Arabidopsis thaliana: one gene and its partner. The protein of the gene in region 2 purifies or fractionates together with the protein of the main gene of each other region. This does not show direct contact. Each region holds a gene or a part of one and is shown on either strand. Other genes may lie near its edges. The genes, in order: VAR2 and MET1.

The links.
Region 1: the proteins of MET1 (region 2) and VAR2 purify together in Arabidopsis thaliana (affinity purification with mass spectrometry, with the first as the bait; one study listed by BioGRID). This does not show direct contact.

Annotation. Positions count from the first base shown.
Region 1 is NC_003071.7:13,170,732-13,180,068, reverse strand, and holds VAR2 (FtsH extracellular protease family), read right to left. Parts: upstream 5,749-9,337; 5' UTR 5,659-5,748; exon of another isoform or gene 5,550-5,658; 5' UTR 5,390-5,549; coding exon 4,205-5,389; intron 4,120-4,204; coding exon 3,806-4,119; intron 3,720-3,805; coding exon 3,479-3,719; intron 3,365-3,478; coding exon 3,005-3,364; downstream 1-3,004. Other genes in the region: ASP1 (aspartate aminotransferase 1), read right to left, coding at 39-245, 571-656, 866-1,057; AT2G30960 (myosin-M heavy chain-like protein), read left to right, coding at 1,746-2,528; AT2G30942 (transmembrane protein, putative (DUF3317)), read right to left, coding at 8,234-8,246, 8,709-8,781, 9,032-9,116. UniProt on the Arabidopsis thaliana protein: Part of a complex that function as an ATP-dependent zinc metallopeptidase.
Region 2 is NC_003076.8:19,929,013-19,940,935, reverse strand, and holds MET1 (methyltransferase 1), read right to left. Parts: upstream 8,823-11,923; 5' UTR 8,661-8,822; intron 8,447-8,660; 5' UTR 8,436-8,446; coding exon 6,985-8,435; intron 6,901-6,984; coding exon 5,376-6,900; intron 5,277-5,375; coding exon 5,112-5,276; intron 4,963-5,111; coding exon 4,767-4,962; intron 4,687-4,766; coding exon 4,575-4,686; intron 4,494-4,574; coding exon 4,346-4,493; intron 4,264-4,345; coding exon 4,066-4,263; intron 3,935-4,065; coding exon 3,656-3,934; intron 3,545-3,655; coding exon 3,383-3,544; intron 3,272-3,382; coding exon 3,053-3,271; intron 2,900-3,052; coding exon 2,750-2,899; 3' UTR 2,466-2,749; downstream 1-2,465. Other genes in the region: AT5G49180 (Plant invertase/pectin methylesterase inhibitor superfamily), read left to right, coding at 1-153; AT5G49170 (uncharacterized protein), read left to right, coding at 1,454-1,546, 1,633-2,097; GEX2 (gamete expressed 2), read right to left, coding at 11,680-11,719, 11,808-11,899.

The DNA of each region.
Region 1 (9,337 bases), on a different chromosome or scaffold from region 2:
AACATGAGAAATGATCAAATCAACTGTAGGAAACTCACTTGGACCAGGTTGGAACAGGAATGTAGATCTGTGAACCAGGAGAAAAACGTTTCTGGAAGTCTGCAAAGAGCCGGCAGGCTCCAGTGCCAGACAGAGTCTGAACTGCAGCAATTCTTTTATCTTTGATAAATTCACTATTGTCCCCATAGGCAAGCTTCAATGTTAGGTCCACCATTTTGGCACTTCCTCCCATAGGAAGGTACTCCCTTTAGATGATTAATACAATAAAGACAGCTCAGATCAGTCTGGTGAAATATGGGACAATGAGATAATTGCTGATGTTGATCTTTTTTAATATGAAGGATACAAATTAAGCACCACATAGTCAAACACAACCATATTCAAAAGGGCTAATAAGACCTACAATATTTAACAAGTTATGTCAACAAATCACACATACTTTTCGTCAGTTACAATTCAAGAACTTCACCAACTGTACAAGAAGATTTCAAAACTTGACAATCAATTCATGTCAATGAACAGAGAAGCATTAAAGTTAGATCATTTGGGGAGAGAAAGAGAAACTCTTACATGAAAGTGCTCCCAGCAAGCCTTTTCTCAGCTTCTCTGACACATTCCAAGACAACAGGCTTCCCATTATCATCACGATATGCTCCCTTAAAATGATTTAGCCAATTCAACACATAAGTAAAGTAAACACAGATTAGCTTCATCAAAACCAAAATAAAAGCCACCATGCAAACACCAAATCAACAATCCATGTTCATCCATAGGATTAAGACCTCAATTTTGATGTAATTTCATAGATTCGTAAGATCTTGTAGTAAGCAGGGGAAAACAGAGAGTGAGAGAAAGAGAGACTCACCACACCAACATTAACTTTTTCAGGACTAGGATCAGCGAGAAAAGCTTCGGTAACTCCGAGGATCGGATCTTTAGGAGCAGGCTCAACGCTCTTCCACCATGAAGACATAGATCTCAAACCACCGAAATGACCGGAGATCGGAGTCATTCCTCGCTTCGAAGCTGCGTTTCGGATCATCATCGCCAAAGCCATAACTCTATCTCTCTATCTCTCTCTGTTTCTATCTCTTAACGTCAAAAAATCAGAAAAAGAGAGTGGTAAGGAGTTTATATATAGAGAGAGAAGTAGCGACTCGTACGAAGTTTTTGGCAGATGAGGACGAAGGAGAGTCGCACAAGTTGCTTAGAAAATGGCCTTGGTCTGTGTGTGTGTGAGAGATAAGGTTTGATTTTAATAAAATAAGCTTTACTCTAATGATAAATACTATAAAAAGTAATAAATGTTGCTTGGCTCTATGTGTCTGATTTATTTCCCTTTTAGTTAGTCTTCCAACACCTGAATCTAGTAATAAAACATTTATATTTATTTTAGAATCTTACATGTTTATGGTAGTTAATTTTTTAATTTTGACTGTTTTATCATATTATTTGTAACTTGAGTCAATTATAACAAGATGATTTCATTAGAATGTTTTGTGAACTTAAGTGCTTCCAACTTAATTATGTTTTGTGAACTTTACAACAAAATTATCAGAAAATCTCAAAAAAGTAAAGGAAGTTACGGGCCAGCCAATGGGCCTCTAAGGAAGTGCGGTATAAAAAGTTAATGCTATTGCGTAGGACCTCTCTTTTTTTACTTTTCCTTTCAGCATTTTATTACTACAGTACGCTTTTCACTATTTCAGCTTCGACGAGGTTTGTTTGTGAAGCGTGTGAAGGAAATGATTTCAATGGAGGAGAAGAACACATACGGCAAAAGAAAGACTGTTCCTCTGATTCCGGCTAACTACATCAGCATCCTTCAGCTCCAGGAGCGTTGGCTCAATGAGAAAGAGAAGAAGCGAAAGGAAGAAGAAGAGAGACGACGGAAACTACAGGCTGAGGAAGAGAAAAAGATAGAGGAAGAAGATCTGAAGAAAGCGGAGGAGGAGAAGCGTATGAATCGAAGTAATCGGAAGCATTTTGGGAGAAAAAAGGAATCTATAGACGGCGGAGAAGCACGATTCGTTGAGAAGGAGAAACCGGAAGTCACGGTGGCGATCGAGAGCGGTGGAGGTGAAGATGCGGCGGATGGATTACCGAAGAAGAAGAAGAAGAAGAATAAGGGAGCTTGGAGGAAACGATATAATAGCAAGACGAATAAAAATCAAGATGGAGCTGTGGTTGAGGATGTCATCGATTGCGGTTGTGTATCATCAATCGTGCCGCCTGAGTCCGTCGTGACGGAGAATAATACTCCGGTGAAAGATGTGGTTCCAGTTTATTGGATGAAAGCGACCAAATCTAAAGAGATTACCAAATCAATGGCCATAGAAACACAGTTTGAGAACTTCTCTATCAATAGAGGAGAAGCCAAAACTCTCAAGACACAAACCAAATGGAGATATCGTAATCGGCCAATGCCGAGAGGAGCTTCTTCTTCTACAATGGTGTGGGTGAAGAAAGAGCAGAACGAGAGAGCTGGTGATGGAATTGCAAGTGGCGTGAAGCCATTTAATGCGTAACGTTTCCTTTAAGGTTTGATAAATGTTGCTTCTTTACGGTTTCTATTTACTGATTTGGAATCAAACATTGATCTTTTAGAATATTTTGGTTTCAGGTTTTCTGCTTAGCTCTGGAATGCTACTATTCTTGGATGTTCATTGAACAGAGAGATGATGATGGTGTTGGATTAAAGACTCTGAAGCATTAGGGACTAATGGTTTGAGGTTAATTGTAAGCAAATGTACATAAGTTTGTAAGTATAAAGAACATGATTCCATAACAGTTTTTGGTGTTCTGCTTGTGCTACTTGAAAATACTTTTGAATTTCGGTTTGAGTGTTGCAAATCTGGACAATATCATAAACAAGCCTACAAATTCAATTTTTTAAACATTTACTTGTTACTAAATTTTGAGATAGTATCACATTTCTAGAGTGTAAGTTTGAAGATAAATTTACAGAAAAATTATAAGTATCACAAGTATACAGATTGATTACTTAGACAGCAGCTGGTGTTGGTGCTGATGCTGGAGTTGTCGTTGTTGAAGAAGGAACTCGGTTTTCCGGGGGGATCTCAGTAAACTCGGAAAGAATTGCCCTGAATTCGTCACCGCCAATAGTTTCTTTCTCGAGAAGCACTTCAACGAGCTTATCCATGGCTTCACGATTGTTCTTTATGTGGCTTAGAGCTATCTCATATGCACTGTCTGATAGTTTCTTCACCGCAGAATCAATGTCTTCTGCAAGCTTCTCAGACATGGAGTTTCTTGCCATCATTCTCATGATGACATCGCTTTGTGCCGAAGAATCCATCAAAGACCATGGTCCAATATCAGACATTCCAAATGTTGTTACCATCTGCAAAGTAAAAATATTCAACAGTCTCAAACACTCAGTTTCATCAACTAGTAAAAGATCAAACTTATCATCAGGCTCCAGCATAACTAATGTGAAGCTGAACGTGTCGCGTACCTGTCTAGCCAAACCGGTGATCTGTTGTAAGTCACCAACTGCGCCAGTAGTCACCTCGGAATCACCAAAGATGATTTCTTCAGCGGCCCTACCACCGAGTCCACCAACAATTCTTGCAAAGAGTTGCTGCTTGGAGATGAGTGTCGGGTCATCTGATGGAATGAACCAAGTCAGACCTCTTGCTTGGCCTCTTGGTATCAACGTTACCTTTTGCACAGCATCATGTCCTGGAGTCAATGTTCTGTAAAAAACCAAAGTTTATAACTTTAAAGTAAGTTTTTGATAGTAATAATATACAGACAGGCTTTTAATATGTTTCTCACTTACCCACACACTGCATGACCAACTTCATGGTAAGCTACCAAGCTTTTGCTCTTGCCATCGGTCATCACTGTTCCTTCCATGCCAGCAACGATTCTATCAATGGAGTCATCAATCTCTTTAGATGATATCGATGTCCGTGCTCGCCTTCCGGCCAATATAGCAGCCTCATTCAAGAGGTTAGCGAGATCTGCTCCGCTAAATCCAGGTGTTCTCATTGCTATTATTTCAAGTGAAACATCATTGTCGAACTTCTTATTGCCGGCATGAACCTTGAGAATATCTGTTCTCCCCTTAACGTCAGGAACGTCAACACTTACCTGCACCAGAAATTATAAGTAAGCACAAGCTCTAGGAGTAGTACAGGATTACAAAACATATCAATGTGTAATAATCAGATAGTACCTGCCGGTCAAACCGTCCTGGCCTCAACAAAGCAGAGTCAAGAATGTCTGCTCTATTGGTTGCAGCAACTACGATAACACCAGTGTTACCTTCAAAACCATCCATCTCAGTTAGGAGCTGATTGAGGGTCTGTTCTCTTTCATCATTACCTCCACCAATTCCGGTTCCTCTTTGCCTACCAACAGCATCTATTTCATCTACAAAGACAATGCAAGGAGCGTTCTCCTTGGCTTTCTTGAAAAGATCACGGACTCTCGAGGCACCAACACCGACAAACATCTCAACAAACTCAGAACCAGAGATGGAGAAGAAAGGCACACCAGCTTCACCAGCAATGGCTTTTGCCAAAAGGGTTTTCCCGGTACCAGGAGGACCAATAAGAAGAACACCTTTCGGGATCTTGGCACCAACCGCAGTGAATCTCTCAGGTTTCTTCAAAAACTCCACCACTTCCATGAAATCTTGCTTTGCTTCATCAACTCCAGCAACATCATCAAATGTTACACCAGTGTTAGGTTCCATTTGGAACTTTGCTTTGGACTGACCAAACTGAAGTGGGTTACCAGGACCACCAGGTCCACCCATTCCACCACCAGACCGTCTCGAAAGAAGGAACAAACCACCAATCAAAAGCGCCGGGAAAGCAAGATTACCAATCAAGTTGAATAACACAGAACCTTGATCTTCCTGAGCATTATGTGCTGCAAAATCAATATTCTTAGCCCTAAGCTTCTGTAGAAGCTCTTGACTTAAACCCGGTAGCTGAACACGTACTCTCTCAACCCGGTTACCCAATTCAGGAGAAACAGCTTCCACAATAGCTATAGTCCCATTCTCATACAAATCAACTTTATTCACCCTATCCTTATCCAAGTACTCTAGAAACCTAGAATACGACATCCTCGACGAAGAAACACCTTGTTCATCAGCATTTGCTTTCCCACTTGCAACCAAACCGACCCCAGCATTTCCTAACAAGATTTTGAGAAAATCTCTTCTTCCTTCTTGCTTCTTCTTCCCATCCAAAGAAGCCTTCACTACATTAACCTTAGATGTCCTAATCACTGAAGAAAAGCTTGTCTGTCTGCCGGAAAAATGTTTACTTAACCTCTGTTTGGTTGTTGTGTTCACTGACAAACCATTTCCCACAAGACAAGCTGATGAAGCTGCCATCTGAAAATTCATCAAAGAAGAAAAATTAATTAGATGATATATCAAATCCCATGAACGATGAGACAGAACAAGCAAGTTTCTTACAAGTACAAGAACCTAACCCTCAGATCAAAGGAACAGTAAACATACTTCGAGTTCTTAATTCAGTGAATTAGAAATCAAGGAACTAAAACTAACACAAAGCGACGAAATCAGAATTTGCCGAAGAAAACCCAGTCAGAGTTATGCAGCGACGGAGATTATAAAAGAATCTAACCAAAGAGAAGAGGTAGAAGACAAACCTGTATCGATTACAGATGAGAGTTGTATAGGGAAGGAGAATCTCGAGCTCTGCAAATATGGAGGATGGAGAGAAAGAGAGGAGAATAGTGCAAGGGACTTGGAGATTTTTTTTTAAGGGAACAGATGTGGTTCGTGAAGAACTTACGTGTCCTTCATTGAGTGGTTTAATTTAATTACCCGAATCTAACCAAAAACTGAATTGGTATCCAAACCAAAATTGGTTTACTCGACGATTTTCAATTACTGTACATATGAATTTCTCTGTTATGTTATGTATTCTCTTGCAATTTGTATATTACACATTTTATTTTATTTTTGTAGTACTCTCAGAGCAACCACATTGGTTAGTTTCTAAGTAAGGTTTCTATGTATTTTTTATTAATTAATTTTGATATTTTTGTAGTTTAGAGATTTTGTAGAGTTTTTGAAAAATTTTTGGTCCATTAAAAAAATCCTTAAGTGAGTTTCTAATAAAACTAAAAAAAAATTTTGAAAAAAATGTGAAAGTGTTTGGGATACATTTGACTCTCAAAACTTGACACAGACTCTACGCTCTCAAAACTTGATACACTCACAAAATTCGACACACAAACTCAAGTGCATCTTCACACGACCATAGCCTATACACTTATACACAGAACAGAACAACACTTGCATGTGCTTGCTATTTATGCTTCCTTGAACTCTTGCATCTCGACAGGGACATCATCCTTAAAACGAAGTTGAAATTCATTTAGAACAGAACACAAACCAATCTATTGAAGTTTGAACACGAACACAAACCAATTAGAACAGAGCACAATGAAACCAATTTAGAACAGAACACAAACAACTTAAGATAATAAGATTCATAACCGAACAGAACAAAAACAAGTGAAGAAGCATTAACCGACACAAAAAGACTAACTTTCAAGACATAAAAGGCACCATTCAAGCATTTGACAACATGTCAGTGATAAGTTTGTTCTTTAAAGCCATTTCAAGATCACTAAGCGGCCCTGTAAGGTATGTAAAAGTATATAGAAGATGACACAAAGTAACATAAAGACAGAATAACAAACAAGATCTGTCATTCTACAGTTGGTTTCAATCGCGTGCTTACAAGTTTGAACCTCAATAGAAAAAGCTAAACAAAAATCAACTTGAAAGATTTTTAACTGACATTAGAAATTGTTATTACCATTTAATTGCAGAAACAAGTAGAGTGAGAAAAGTATTGTTCCAAGCTCAAGAACTTAAAGAATGTAGTCTGCAATTCTACATACACCTGAAAATGACAGCTCTCAAGATTTCAGTAAGAGTACAAATGCTTAACGGTCAATACAACAATCAAACTACTCTTCAACGTTTAGATGAGAAAGAAACACTTAACAGTAATGTGTCACATAAGGACCATATAACCGAAAATAATGGCATATGGACCAATTGTTCATCAAAAGCCATAAAAGAAATGCATAAACCAATCTAATAATATTCTAGTTACTAGTCTCTATACTTACTAAGCACTATAAAAAACAGAGGCTTTTCCATGAGAATTGCAATTCTTCTTCGATAGCAGAAGCATGGTCATGTTCATGTGAATAAACGTATAAACCTTAACATACTTTATGCAGATATTCTATAATTTCTTAAACAACAGAAGTTTAAAACAATGCGTAGAGAACACCACAATTCCAAACAATGCGTAGAGAAAAGGCTATAATTGTTGTGAAAGTTAAGCAAGTTATTGTATGATCGATCAATGACAAGAGAGACACTCACCGGAATTCTATCTGGATACTTCTCTTTAATCCAAGCAGCCTCCACCCTACTCTTTTCTGAAGCTTTTTGCCACTCCTTTCGATTTGGTTCGAAGAATCAATTTAGTGAACAACCTCGTCGTCGATCATCATCCCGGCGGTTGAAAATTGAGTACATAGCGGTTGAAAATTGAGTACATGTGGCTCTTGTCTCCCGATTTCATGGTCGATACGCCGAAGTTTGTAATCGAAAGGGATCGATTGGAATCACCTAATTTTCGTCGGAGAACCAAAAGAAAAGAGAAAGGACAAGAGGAAAGAGAAACACGCTTTTTTCTTTTTTGTTTTTTTTGTCTAAATTTTCATCCTATCATTTCTAGCCACGTCACTGTTTCTAAACACTTCAGAAAATCCTAAAAATCCTAAAATAGGAACGATCCTAACAATTTTATTGGGTTTTCCTTTATTTTTGGACTTTTATTCTTTAGGATTTTAGATTAGAAACCCATTAGAAACACTGATGGACATGGTCTCTTACTAACAGTACCGAGAAAACACCTGGAAACTTTGAGGTTATGGACTCTAAACATCAAAAGATGCAAGTAATATGGTTTGGCCCTGTGTCAAAAATTTGAAGTGGAGGAAATAGAATCGAACAAAGGATGTCCATTCCAAAATAACCATAGGAATAAATGATCTATGAACAGTTTACATGATCAGGAATCGTGGCAAAGAAGGAGGTGCAAGCAAAGCAGAACATAGGAGTTTGTTGGCGCAAGTCTCAGATAACCATGTGGGTTTCACGATTCCATGGCGTGATGATTATGACCTGGTTTCATGAAAGATGCCTGTGGAATAAGAAGGATTTAACATAATTAAGCAGTGCATAACAACGCAAGAGGCTTATCAAGAAAGTGATTTCAAATGTTTCTTCTGAGCATACTTAACACACAACCTAAGTTCAAATCCCCAAAGAATCTGTTTGAAGTCGCTCTGCTCTGTGTTAAGAGAATTGAATGCATAAGATAGAGCAAACTCTAGCAACCCTCTAAATCCGTTATAAGCACAGAGATCAAAGGAACATAACATTCAATGTAGTTCATTAACAATCGGATGATATAGAATATCAAATGTGATGTAAAATCCACAAACCCTCTTGATATCTTTAATCAATAGAACATAGATACATATACACACACTAACTAGAGATAGAAACTAGTAAAACATATAAGCAAAACAAGGATTTGAGATGGTGACAAAACCCAAACCTAAATCAAACTAAAGCTATACATTAAGACCATTAAAGTTACCTCTTGCAAAGCTCGGAAAAGTAACGAGATCCATTGTACAGAATAAACCACATCAAGATTAACACTAAAGAATCTGAAAGAAAAAAACAGAGTTAAGGAAAATGGCAAGAGCTCTGGTTTTTGTTTTTGCTGGACAAAACTTGTAAATTTGAAACTTCATAGACATTGTCAAATCCAGAATAGAATCTCAAAAAATTAAACTTTTCTAACAAAAGATAACGCAGCTAAAGAAGCTGAACAAATAAAAATTCAACCTTTTAACCGAATAAGATAAGATTCGCAACAACAAAAAAAGTTCAAATAGATCAAAGAGAAAAGGATACTGAATAGGTATCGTTCCCACCAATCGAGCATGTAAAGCCCGAAGGTGACGTTGTAAAGGTAGATTTTTCGTTGAACCCAGTTCATATCTAGTCGAATCCGATTCGACGGTCGGAAACACCCAGTTTCAAGTTTTCGAAATTTACCCAGTAAGAGTCAGTCGGAGATCGTAACTTACAGAGAGATTCGATGATTTAAAAGTCCTTGAAGCTGAAGATCTTCGTGAGGAGAGATTGTTTGGTGATCTTCAGAGCACTTATAAAATCCCGGTTTACTCGTCTACCGGTTATTGTAACTCACCGATTTTA
Region 2 (11,923 bases):
GGGCCTGGGTCAAACCAAGCCCAACGTGTTAAGTGGCCTGGAATTAAGAAACTATCGCCCAAGCAAGCTCTTCGATTTACTCCTGCTAGGTTTTTACGTGGTAACTTGTGGATTCCACCAAATCGTGTGCCTTACATGGGGAATTTTCAGTAGATTCCAATTGGTGAATTTTCCACTTTCTGTGTGCTCTTTAAAAAAAAAAATGAAGGTGAATAATTTATATGCGTGTCTTGTCTTAAAGTCCTGACTTGCCGAATCTAGTATCTTACTCTCAGCCAAGTTACTACATTGAAGATAAAAGGCTTGTCGTGTGCTCTTAGGACAAAATTGGTCAGGCTTGGATCTATGTTTTTGGTACAAATAAGTTGATCAGTAAAACTCATATAGATTTGTGGTTGATCATTGGCCTTATCATTGTACCTTTATTACTAATTGGTACCGGTTCCTCGAGGTCAACGTGAAGAACCAGCAGAATTACAAGCTTGATGTTATTGATTTTTAGGTTCTTGTTTCTTGTAATTTTTTGATTTGTTTTGTTTTATTTTAGTACAGATTCTAGTTTAATCATTTATTTTTCGGGTGCGCATTCTTTAAGATTGAGTTTGAATGTATTTGGGAATGGACTAACCGAAAAAGAAGGTGGAAAGTGACAAGAGAGTAAAGACTGAAGAGAGTATTAAATCAAGCAAAGCACCTTTACTCTTGGAACCCCTAACCGATGTCTAACAACAAATATCCTAGTTTCTCGATATCCAAATCCACTACTTTCAGTTTCATGGTTTTTTATCTTCTTCTTCTTCCACTAATAAATCAATGTAACTATATTACTTCAGGGAACCACTAATAATATAAACTTTTTTGATAAAAGTATTATTTAACTTAAAAGAATAAAAGAACCATTTAATACAAAGTTCTAGCATCCTGAATTTTAACCTAGTTCTTGTATTAAAGAACCACTCGTTTGGAGTAAAGTGTCATATGCTTTTTGTGAAAGTCATCTCAAATTCTTAATGGTTATTACATAAACATAGTAAATGTGTGGAAGAATAAATGATGAGAAGGACCCATGCAAATTCCTTGGTAGTATTAAATGTTCAATGGATCTTAAGATTTTCAAAACAAAAGATATAGTATTACTTTTCCGTTTCTAGTGGGTCATATATACAAAAGCAAAACAAAACAAAAATCGTCAAAATTACGACAATGTTTTGTATAATAAGAAACCATACCCATGTGATTGGTTACAGAATACAATTCTAACTTTTTATTATTTTTAAATACGGATCTCCATTTTTTTTTTTAAATAGCTTGAAAGTATTTGGGATATAGATTATAGACTAACCGAAAAGAAGGTAGAAAGAGACAAGAGAGTGAAGAAGCATTGAATCAACCAAAACACTAACACTAGAACACCTTTTCTCTTGAAACACTAAAAACTAAAGTCACTTCACCAATGTCTAACAAGAGCATATCTCCAATTTTCCCAATGCTCCAATCTCAACATTTTAGCGATTATGGCTTCGATCCCCAGATCCATTACTTTCAGGTTCTCTTCTTCTTCTTCTTCCACATTGTTCCTAGGGTTTCGATATAAAGCTAACTCTGTTTTTTTTTGTTTTTGTATATCTTAAGGTTTTGGAAGAAGCAAAGAAACACAAGTCTTCCTCCATTGACACATTTCAGTTCAAACTTCAAAAACCTATCTCGAAAGACGATTTGATCCGAACCACTCTCCACAACAAGAACAAGAACAAGAAGCGTTGGTTATGGTGCAAGAACGCTTTGTTCTTCTTTAAGTGGCGGAAATGGCCAATCTCCTCTGCCGTCGTTGGAAGATGCTCCGGCGAAAACGACGGAGACAATGAGTTCGACGATCGTAGCGATGTTCATTTTGCTAGAGCTAGAAATTTTCGAGCTGGTTCGATATCAGGTCCGGTTTACGTGACAGAGAGTTGGAGCGGTTCGAGTACACCATACCGGCCGATGACTACGACGTCGGCAGTTCAGTATTTGAGTCTACGGGAGCTTAATATGGAGCGACAGCAGAGGATCACTACCTCTTCTTCTATGTCCGGTCCAATTTACTTGGTCACGTGAATAAAAACATCAATTTGCAGAATTATCCTTTTATAGGATCAAAAAAGGAAAAAGAAATTAATAAGATTTGTTTTGGGAGGTGTGGAAGATAAGTTTAGATTTGGTTTGTGGGCCTAATGGGCCCAATTGTTTTATAGGATATGATGAGTCCATTACATAAGTGTGACTGGGTAGCTTAAGGTAATAATAACCAGCTCCCGTTATTTGTTGTTTCTTTCCGTTGGTTGATGCGAGATAATTATAAACTGTTTTAGGTGTTTTTTATTTACCTAATTTTTATAATATTGAAGTTTATATTATTATTAACTGTTGTACAGTGCATTTTTCAAGAGTCTAAAATTGATAGATGACTGAAACCTTTACATGTTCTGGACAAACTTTATTTCGACGCAATATCATTGAAACTGTCTCTCATATCTTTAAATTTTCGACGCAATATTATTTCAACCCAATTCACAAGGCAAATAAATCATAGTCTATAGACATCATTGCTTGCTTGTATAATGAGATTTTTCAATCCGAATACGGAATATACAAAAACTCTTCGTAGGCTTTCTTTATCAAAAGTATCAGCACCAATGAGTTTCATTCAAGACAAGGATCATAATGACTAATATTATTGAAAAAGGAAATGCCAAATTTGGGTGGTTATCTAGGGTTGGTGTTGAGGAGACTTCTTGAGATGTAGGGCTTCTTTGAGCTTACGACCTAGAGCAAATGCCAATGGTGGAGGGACTGCATTCCCAATCTGCCTGTGCTTGTGATTTATGTTCCCTGCAAACTCGTAGCTATCCGGAAACCCCTGCAGTTTTCATTAACAACAATTTCGCTTAAAAGGCCATATCGATAAAGCTAACATTACTACTCTATCTCCCAAAACCATTCAGTGCTTTGCAATCTCTAAGTCTGTAACTGATGCTATAGGACTGACTGGGAACAGAAGAGTTTTTCTTACCTGAGATCGGGCGCATTCACGGACTGTAAGGATTCTGTGCTGTTCAGGATGAAAGCACATTCCAACCTTACCCATGGGCTGAGGATCCGTGACGGAAGTCGGAAAGTTTCCTTGCCAATCTAATCTCCCATATAGTCCCTTCCAACCGTTGTGGCGCTCAGCTGTGTTTGGGAGACAAAAAGGAATCATTTCTTCTACGCGCCCATCAGATAACGTAACCTGTGATATTAAAACAAAGCGATTTGGGTTGATTTCTAGTTTCAAAAGCAATTCTTTTGACCGTAGTCAACCTGACAAAGGTATTCCTGAGGTAGGATGTATAAGACTGACCTTTCTCTTTGGCAAGTCATGCCAATCAGCCCCAGGCCTAGTTGGGATTAATTTGCATCGAATGAGGTTAAGCTCATTCATAGCCTTGCAGATATGATCAGTGAGAGCAATCGTGTTTCCTCTTATCTCCTTTTGGAACCACGAGACTGCAACCTCTTTATACTGCAAGAAACAAGAATTTCCCCCACATAAATTAATAAATTAATGGGTTCACGTCATTTGTGTTTAGCAAATATGTATGTATAGATATTTTCTCCAGATGTGTTATCATACCTCTTTGTTTGTCCTAGAGTCTCCGTTTTCTACTGATGGAAGATCACCAATTGTGTCTCTCACGGTGATTGGACGGAAAGGGGCACCAAGTGCAGTACTACGAACAGCAGCATAATGTAAACCTTGAGATAGTGAGATTTTCAACTTTGGAACACCAAAGACATGCATCGGCTCAGGCCATTCAGGGAGAACTTCTTCTGGTGCAGCAGCCCAAATGAAAGCTCGTTTACGAGATTGGGATACTCCATATGCACCGGCCTCCAGGATTCCAAATCTCACCTGGGAAACATCATAGAAACATCATATTTAAGAGATTTAAGTCAATTTTTGTACTTCGCAAACCATTCTTCACAGAGCATGCCAACTTCTACTAAAGAGAAATCAATTTAACAAAAGCGTTAGGACTTTACCTGGTAACCCATTTCGAGAAGGGAAGCCAAAGTAAGCTGAAATGTCTGCCCTTTATTGAATGACACAAAGGTCCTCACGTTCTCCAGAAGAAAATACCTTGGCCGGAAATAGTCAGCAAAGGACAAGAATGCTAATATCATTTCACACTGAACTTTACTCCAAGAGCTTTGGTTGAACCTGTTCATACCAGAAAATCCCTGCCAAATTGCACAGGTTAAGGGCTTTTCACTTATTCAACGAAAAATTTACACAAGTATAGCCACAATCTGAAATATATACCTGACATGGAGGTCCACCATTGATGAAGTCCACTTGACCAGGCAGTGGCAGAGTACTCTTCTGCTCCTCAGTTAGTTTAGCTGCTAATTCATTTGCCTCTGTAGTAGAGACACAATCATCTTGATCTCCACCTTTCTCCATTATAGCCCTGCAATTAATCACAACAACTGATCACAATGCAAAAAATAGCCACACTAAAAGAGTAAGCGATAACTTGTTGGCTATTTACCTAAGAATCACATTGCAGTTGTCAACAAAAACTGTTGACTCAGGATGGTTTTGTTTAAAAGCCTGCCCAGCTGGCTCTTCATACTCAATCGCCCACTTTGCATCAGATACACCTTTTACATATAGCATGAATATTAATACAACTTATTCAAGCATTTTGGAAGATTAAGAGTTGACTGGATATAATACATACCCGCCTTTTTCAGTCCATGAGACAGGCCACCACAACCAGCAAAAATATCTAGAGTAGCCAGACGAATCTCTTTAGGTGGCTCAACAGGCTTGACAATCTCAGACTCAATTTCACTCTCTACTCCCTTTCCCTTTTTCTTTCTTAAAAGTGTGTCGTCCTTAATAGTAGAGAACTTTGGCTTCATATTGGCGGGCAGCTGTTACAAGACAGTATAGAGAAAAAGTTCAACTTTGTATCAGAACAACAATAATCATAACATATAAATCCTAGACACAACTATATGAATTCCTTAAGAAACTAGGTACACAAATAATTGACAAATACGAAGTGAAGAGAGGTATATACCTGCTTGAGAGAACCTTTGGAGGTGTCAAAGAAAAGATCACAGAAGAAAATATGGTCTGATATTGGATATTCACGGGATAAGGGCATATCACTTTTCTTTCTTACTTCACATTTTCCCTCTAGAGCACCTGGAGGGAGAACAACTGTGTCCTGGCTGAAATACAACTTAAGAAATTGCAAAAAGAAAGAAAAAAGATTGTCAGATAAACTTATGAAGAAACCTCACCACTGAACACATTACCAGATATAAAAAATAGTTCTTACTTCTTGGATGTCTGAAGCATAGGCCTTCTCTGCAGAAACATCCTCAGGCCTATAAAACCTTCTCACTTTAACATCAAAGGAACCCAAATCAGCCTTTCTAGATTCCTTTGGAACAATTTCCAGCAATTGGCAAACAACATACGCTCTTAACCCAATGTTTCGCCCAGACTTAAAAGAAGTTTTACTACCCTCCTTCAACCCACCAATAGAGTCAGGGTTGACATAGACAAAATCCTCAACAGAATACTCAATCCCATTGATGAAAAAGCCTGTCTTTGAAACATTTAGTTTAATTGTAGACCTCTTCTCTTCATCCTCCCTTATCTTACATGAAGTGCAGAACCCAGAACTGCGACCAATATCACTTAGTGGAAGACTAAAGAATCCCCCTCTCTCAGGTGAGTACAAGCTTTTGCAGTAATACTCTGTTGGCAAATCTTTTACTTTTCTTTCTAATGCTCTAGCCCAGTCAAGCTTATCCGCAGTGATGTTCTTTTTCCTATACTGATGCCCCCATGGCCTTGATCGAATCTCAAAACTGGCTACTCCTTTAATGTCCTTGAGCTGTGTAGTCATGCATTCATTAGTCAGGAATAGTTCCCTCTCGTTAGCAGCATTCCCCAGAACAGTCATAGATCCTCTTTGTAAGAATCTACCATGTAACATTTTGCAGTGATCTGTACTTTCGAACATGTACTCCACAAAATAGATGGCCGGCATTTCATCTGGATCATCAACTTCCAAGGTGACAGCGCCACCTACAGCCACCATTTCCCCTCCAACAAGGGCTTGTTGATAGAGAGGCTCGCCAGCAGAAGTTTTTCCTAGACTCTCACCATCCCATTTTATTTCCCTTTTTCCAGAACTGCCTCGGATTTTCTTAGGAGTATGAGGCTTCTGAACCTCAACAGGTTCTGGTACAGTGTCCTCTGTGAGACCATTTTCACCTTCCTCTTCAACCTCTTCCTCCCCATTTCCGCCTTCCTCTTCCACCTCATCCTCCCCATTTTCTGCAGCAGTCGCCTGCAATGGATCCTCTGGAGAGTAATTGGAGTAAAACTCTCCCCAAATTCTGTTGACCAGGCGAGTTGTTGTTGCTTGCATAGCTTTCCTCTTCGATGCTACTGGTGCCATGCCTGCCCTTGGATTCAGATTCAGTTCCTTCAGCGAAATTTTCTTCTTCTTGATGATCCATTTTGTGTGGTGCCTATCCTCCAATTTGCTTGCAAGACCAACAACAAATGGACACCTTTTGACATTGTCGTCCGGATAAACTGCAAAAAGCTGTAAAATAATTTGCCCATGGACGACCAAATATCTCTCAACAGCCAAGGGGTCAGAAGAAATGTAAGCTTTATCATTCGCCTGTAACCCAGACAGTCTTTTTGTGACATCTGCAAATGAAAGCCTAGCAACCCTACTTTCCACCCTAAGAAAAGTAAGAATGCTTATCCCAACCCTTGCTGTTTTCAGAACAGGTTTCCACCAAGGGGCATAAAGTTTTGATGGTTTCCCAAGACGGTACCTGTATATACCTTATACATCAGCAACAGAAGAAAAAACAGACGTAGAAACATGCGAGTACAAAATACTAGGATAGTAAGCTTACCAGGCCACATCTGTTCGTATAGAAATGGAGATAATATCATCGCTCCCAAACTCAATCATCCATTCTTTAATTTGACTGAGGAATATGCACATCCCATCAGGATCGTGTGACTGAGAACCGCTGTCAGGATCGTTTAAAGAAATCCAACTTCCATTATCATCAGTCACCACACCTGACCCAAAAATGTTGACATCAATATCATCACATTGTTTCATCGGTAGAAGTTCCAGTGATATGAATCGTAAATCAGAGTTATAAAGAGCCCAGTTGTGAAGCATCCTGTGAGGCAGGTGTTCAGATTGAACCTCATAGGAAGCATCATAAAGTATAAGTTCATCTGTTTCTTCTTCGGAGGTCTTATAGTACGATGGGAGAGGATAATCATTGGCAATCTCATCTTCATTTATCTTAATGTAGAACATATTTGAAGCAGAACCTGAGCTGCTGTTTTTTCTGGGCTGTTGCATAGATTTCCTATTCTCTTCGTCTTGTAAGAGTATAGCATATCTTCTGTCATCATCAGTACCATCAACCAGTTGATCAGATGTCAAGGCCTCGCTCTCCGCAACTTGAGAAACTTCTTTAATCCTCACACCATTAGATGGGTTTCTTTCCCTCTGCAGAGGCTTGTCAATCTTACTACTCTTCTCTCTGAGAGCTACAAGAACAGGAATCTCAACATAGCTTGATTCATGTTTCTTGGCTGTCTCATCCAAACCAGCGAGTTGGTTATATATAAAATCTCCCTGGGATATAACAAAATCGATGATTGCCGCACCACTAGAAAAGTACTTGCTTCCACTGCTCATTGATCTGACAACCGCCGCAAGTAACTCCTCAAGACCTATATCAGGATCCCCACCAGATGACTTGGACAATTTCTTATACACAGCCACTGAAGCACGAGCTTTCTCATAGAAGTAATCATAAACCTTCCTGTAGCTAGCAGCAGGTTTACGACAATCATAATCCGCCAATTCCGTTGAGATCCAAATAACAGGGGAACCATCTTCATAACCAGAGATACTCCAATGCTCAACCCGTCCAAACGATGTACACCTCACACCCTTCTCTTTCTCCTTATCAGTACACACATCTGAAGGTAAGATAGCACCTGAAACGAATATGTCATGAATCTCCAACATCTCCAGAGGTTGTGGAACTCCATCTGAATCAAACAAAACAAAATCATTCAGTCTCCTGGTTGGACGATCTTCAACATCAGTTTCCAGAGCCGTTAACCGTAACGCGAGAAACTCTTCCTCCACAATCTGCTGTTTCTTTACTTCAATAGTAGCAGATTTCTCACAGACTCGAATAGATTTCTCCTTGAAACTGGTACACGCTGCAGCACGCCTTGGTCTCCTCGTCCTAGGTACATCTTCTACCTCTTGAATCTCTGGAAGTGGTCTCTTCTTTCGCTTCGCAGCTTTAGCCCCATTTTCCACCATTTTCAAAATCCCTAGTTTCAAAATCAAAATTACCAACAAAATCATCACTATAACGCAATTGGACTATAAAATTTTCACACAAATCTATGTAATCGAAGCGTTCACTACATCGCATTGACTAAACCGACGCAAATAATAACAAAGCCCAGGAAAATTTCCGAGTCTAGGGTTTAACAATCACTGTAGTTAGACTGAAATCGACACAGATTATAGAGAAAAACTTACGTTGAGAAGCGAAATCTACTGGAAGATTGCGAAACCCTAATTGGTCTGAGAGATAGAGAGGTTGAAGAAAGCAGTGATGTGTGATTTGAGAGGAAGAGTGGGAGAGAGAGAGAGGGGGTAATAATAAAAGGAGACGAGACGAGGAGCGAAAACGACGCGCGGCAATAAACGGCGCTAAAAACTTTTTTAAAATGAAAACGAAATAAGAAAAAAAGCCGCGCCTGAATATTTAGGGCTACCATAAATGGCTTTTTATGATTCAATGATTTTATCTTTTGGGGAATATTCCGTATAAATAATCCTAATTTTAAGATTTTTACAGATTTGTTTCTATCTCTAATGTTTATATTCTAATATCTTTCCATCAGTCAACAGTCAAAGTATACGAGTATTATTTTGATTAAGATTTTTATTTGACTACAAAGTATAGATATTTTTTTGATAGAAAAAAGTCTGATTTTTAGACGAAATGTTGAGGGTTAACAACTTAACAATGAGATCCTCCAATAATACTTTTATGTGTGTGTTTTTTCTTATAACAAGAACAATATTTTTATTTTCAAAACTAATACTTTATCATGAAGTGTTTATCAAATGGATAATTTTAATATATATACGAAAAATCTCAAATTGGTAGGATGCCGCTATTTTAGTTAGCTCGTTAGGTTTATGATTTATAACAATATTTTTTCTTTCGAGAACTAACATTTTACCATGATCCTACTATATTATTTGGGAAGTACATTTTAAATGTAACCTTACTTTTTGTAAGTAATTACATATGTATGCCATTAGAAATAAAATTTAAAGAGTAAAGTAATTCATCTCTTTAAAAATTAAAAAGTCAAATACTAATTTAATTAATTAAATTTCATTAAAAAATGAAATACATTATTAATTTCCAAAAAATTAACCAATTAAAATCAACAAATTAGATTTAATATCTAAATTATCATATTAATTTTTTATTAATTATTATAGTTCACCTCTCATCTTTATATGATTCTATTTTTGCGAAAAAATAATATCATCGTTATAAAAAAATAATTAGAGTTTTTTCGCATATGCCATAATTTAAACTTTTAAAAACGAATATAAACTGTTCAATACATAAAAAAATATTATAACGGGTCAAAAATAGATTTAAAAAAATTTATTACTAAGTACTGGGTCATAATTTAAATATTTATATTCAATTTCATGCATATTATTTTAAGAATTTATAATCTTATATACAACAATAATTAATAACATATTAGATTTTTTTATGTGTATGATGTGATTCAATTTTTAATACAAGCTGGAAAATCCTAGAATTGACGGGTTTAAATCGATATTAATATAAGATGGTATACTACAGGTGAAACTCTAAAATTAACAATCAAAATACAAGTGTATAATTTTAAACACTAAACAATATAAATAATATCAAGAAAACATATACAACTCGCAGTTTACTATATATTTAAAATCAAATAAAATAATATCATATAATTAATATTTTGGATATTAAATTAATGTTTGGGTTTTTGAATACTCTTTTTAGATAACGGGTAATTTCCGGTCCAATCGGATATCCACGGGTTTACTAAAACTCTACCCAATAAGGAAATTTCCTAAAATTTTAACCCGCCCTAACCCGATTTTTTGGTTCGAGTATTGGGTTGGTTATCGGGTCCGTTTTTTCGTCAGCCCTATTAAAGATAATCTAATATAGGCCCCAATTAGGTCCACAAATATAACCAAAATACTATACAAAAACTAATTCTAAATTAGGCCAAAAATTAGATCCTCTAATACAAAGGAAACATGTTTCTTACCAAAATAACTTCTATACAAATTTTACACATTTACTTAAAACTACATATGTTGTATTTATTATAACAATAACATTTTTAAACAAAGTCAATCTAATGCAGCATTATATGTAAATAGTAAAACATTGAAAAATATTATGGCATCACTTTTATACTATACTATTTTTTATGTAATTCAAACAAAGTATACAATTTAATTTATACAAAATATTAATGCTCGTGCTGTATAGCACGGGTTATGATCTAGTAAATCTATTAAATGAATAATCATATGAGTTAATCAGATTTATATACATTGAAAACCTCAAATTAATATACTTATTTATCTTTCAATTTTGAGCATAGTTTGTGGGGATTTTTTTTTTTTCGCAAACTTATTTAGTTCCTTCTTATATCTTTTAATGGCATTATTAATAGAAACACAGATGACAACAACAACAAAATTCGATAATGCACGATCTACAGAGTAAAAGTTTCTATCAAGACATTAGGAAGCTCGTACAATATAAAAATTCACTACACAAAAGTCAATTTGGCCAGATTCGATTGCTCTTTATACAATCTTGTAACGTAGAGATCACCACGCTCCATCTCCACAGTCTCGGGGATCTCTCCGATCCTCTGCCAAAATAAGTAAAGGCAAACCCAAACTTAGTTTACAGAAAGGTTGTGTATATATGTGTATGGAGGGAATAAGAGAATTCTCACTCTTCGTATAGATTGAGGGAGAAAAAGTTTACCATTATAGTCATCACTAACAAAAACAACTCTAGCTACTGTGAATGGATTTTTCAACTATAATAACAAACAAGCTTAACCAACTTAGATGATGGTTCAAAGTGATTAGGTTAAGTGAAATTTTCTGTCTGTGTTGTAGAATGGTATGGTTCTCTTTAGATTCACAAAAACTAAATCAAGATATACAGTTAGTGCTTTTTTTTGTCTATTTGTGTTCTGTTTAATGCAGATATTTGTGTTCTGTTTCTATGTTTTGTATTTGTAGTTTCAAGTCCAAACTCATGTCTTTTTATAAATCTAATCGGATCATTAATCAATTTAATCTTGGTAGCTAAACCAAAAAGGTAATTATAGAATCATTGAGCATTTACAACAGAAGCATGACCAAAAAACATTCTGATGGCTCAGATTTATCAACTTCGAGCCTTATCTAGCTGGAACGGAAAAATGTTAATATCTGGAGACTACTGCTTATTCTGGTTGCCGGAAGTTTCACCTATGTGTCTTTACCAACAAACAAATACACAGAACAGATTACATTTCAACAAGCGATACTATTTTATACAATTAAACCATTTCCCCCAAAATATACCTCTGCTGCGGATGGCGATTCCAGATACTCTCAGGTAGACAACCAGTGATTGTTGTTGTTGAAAGATTTCTGTTTAACAATTCGGCATTGTCCTGCTCCAGAAGAGAGAATAACCT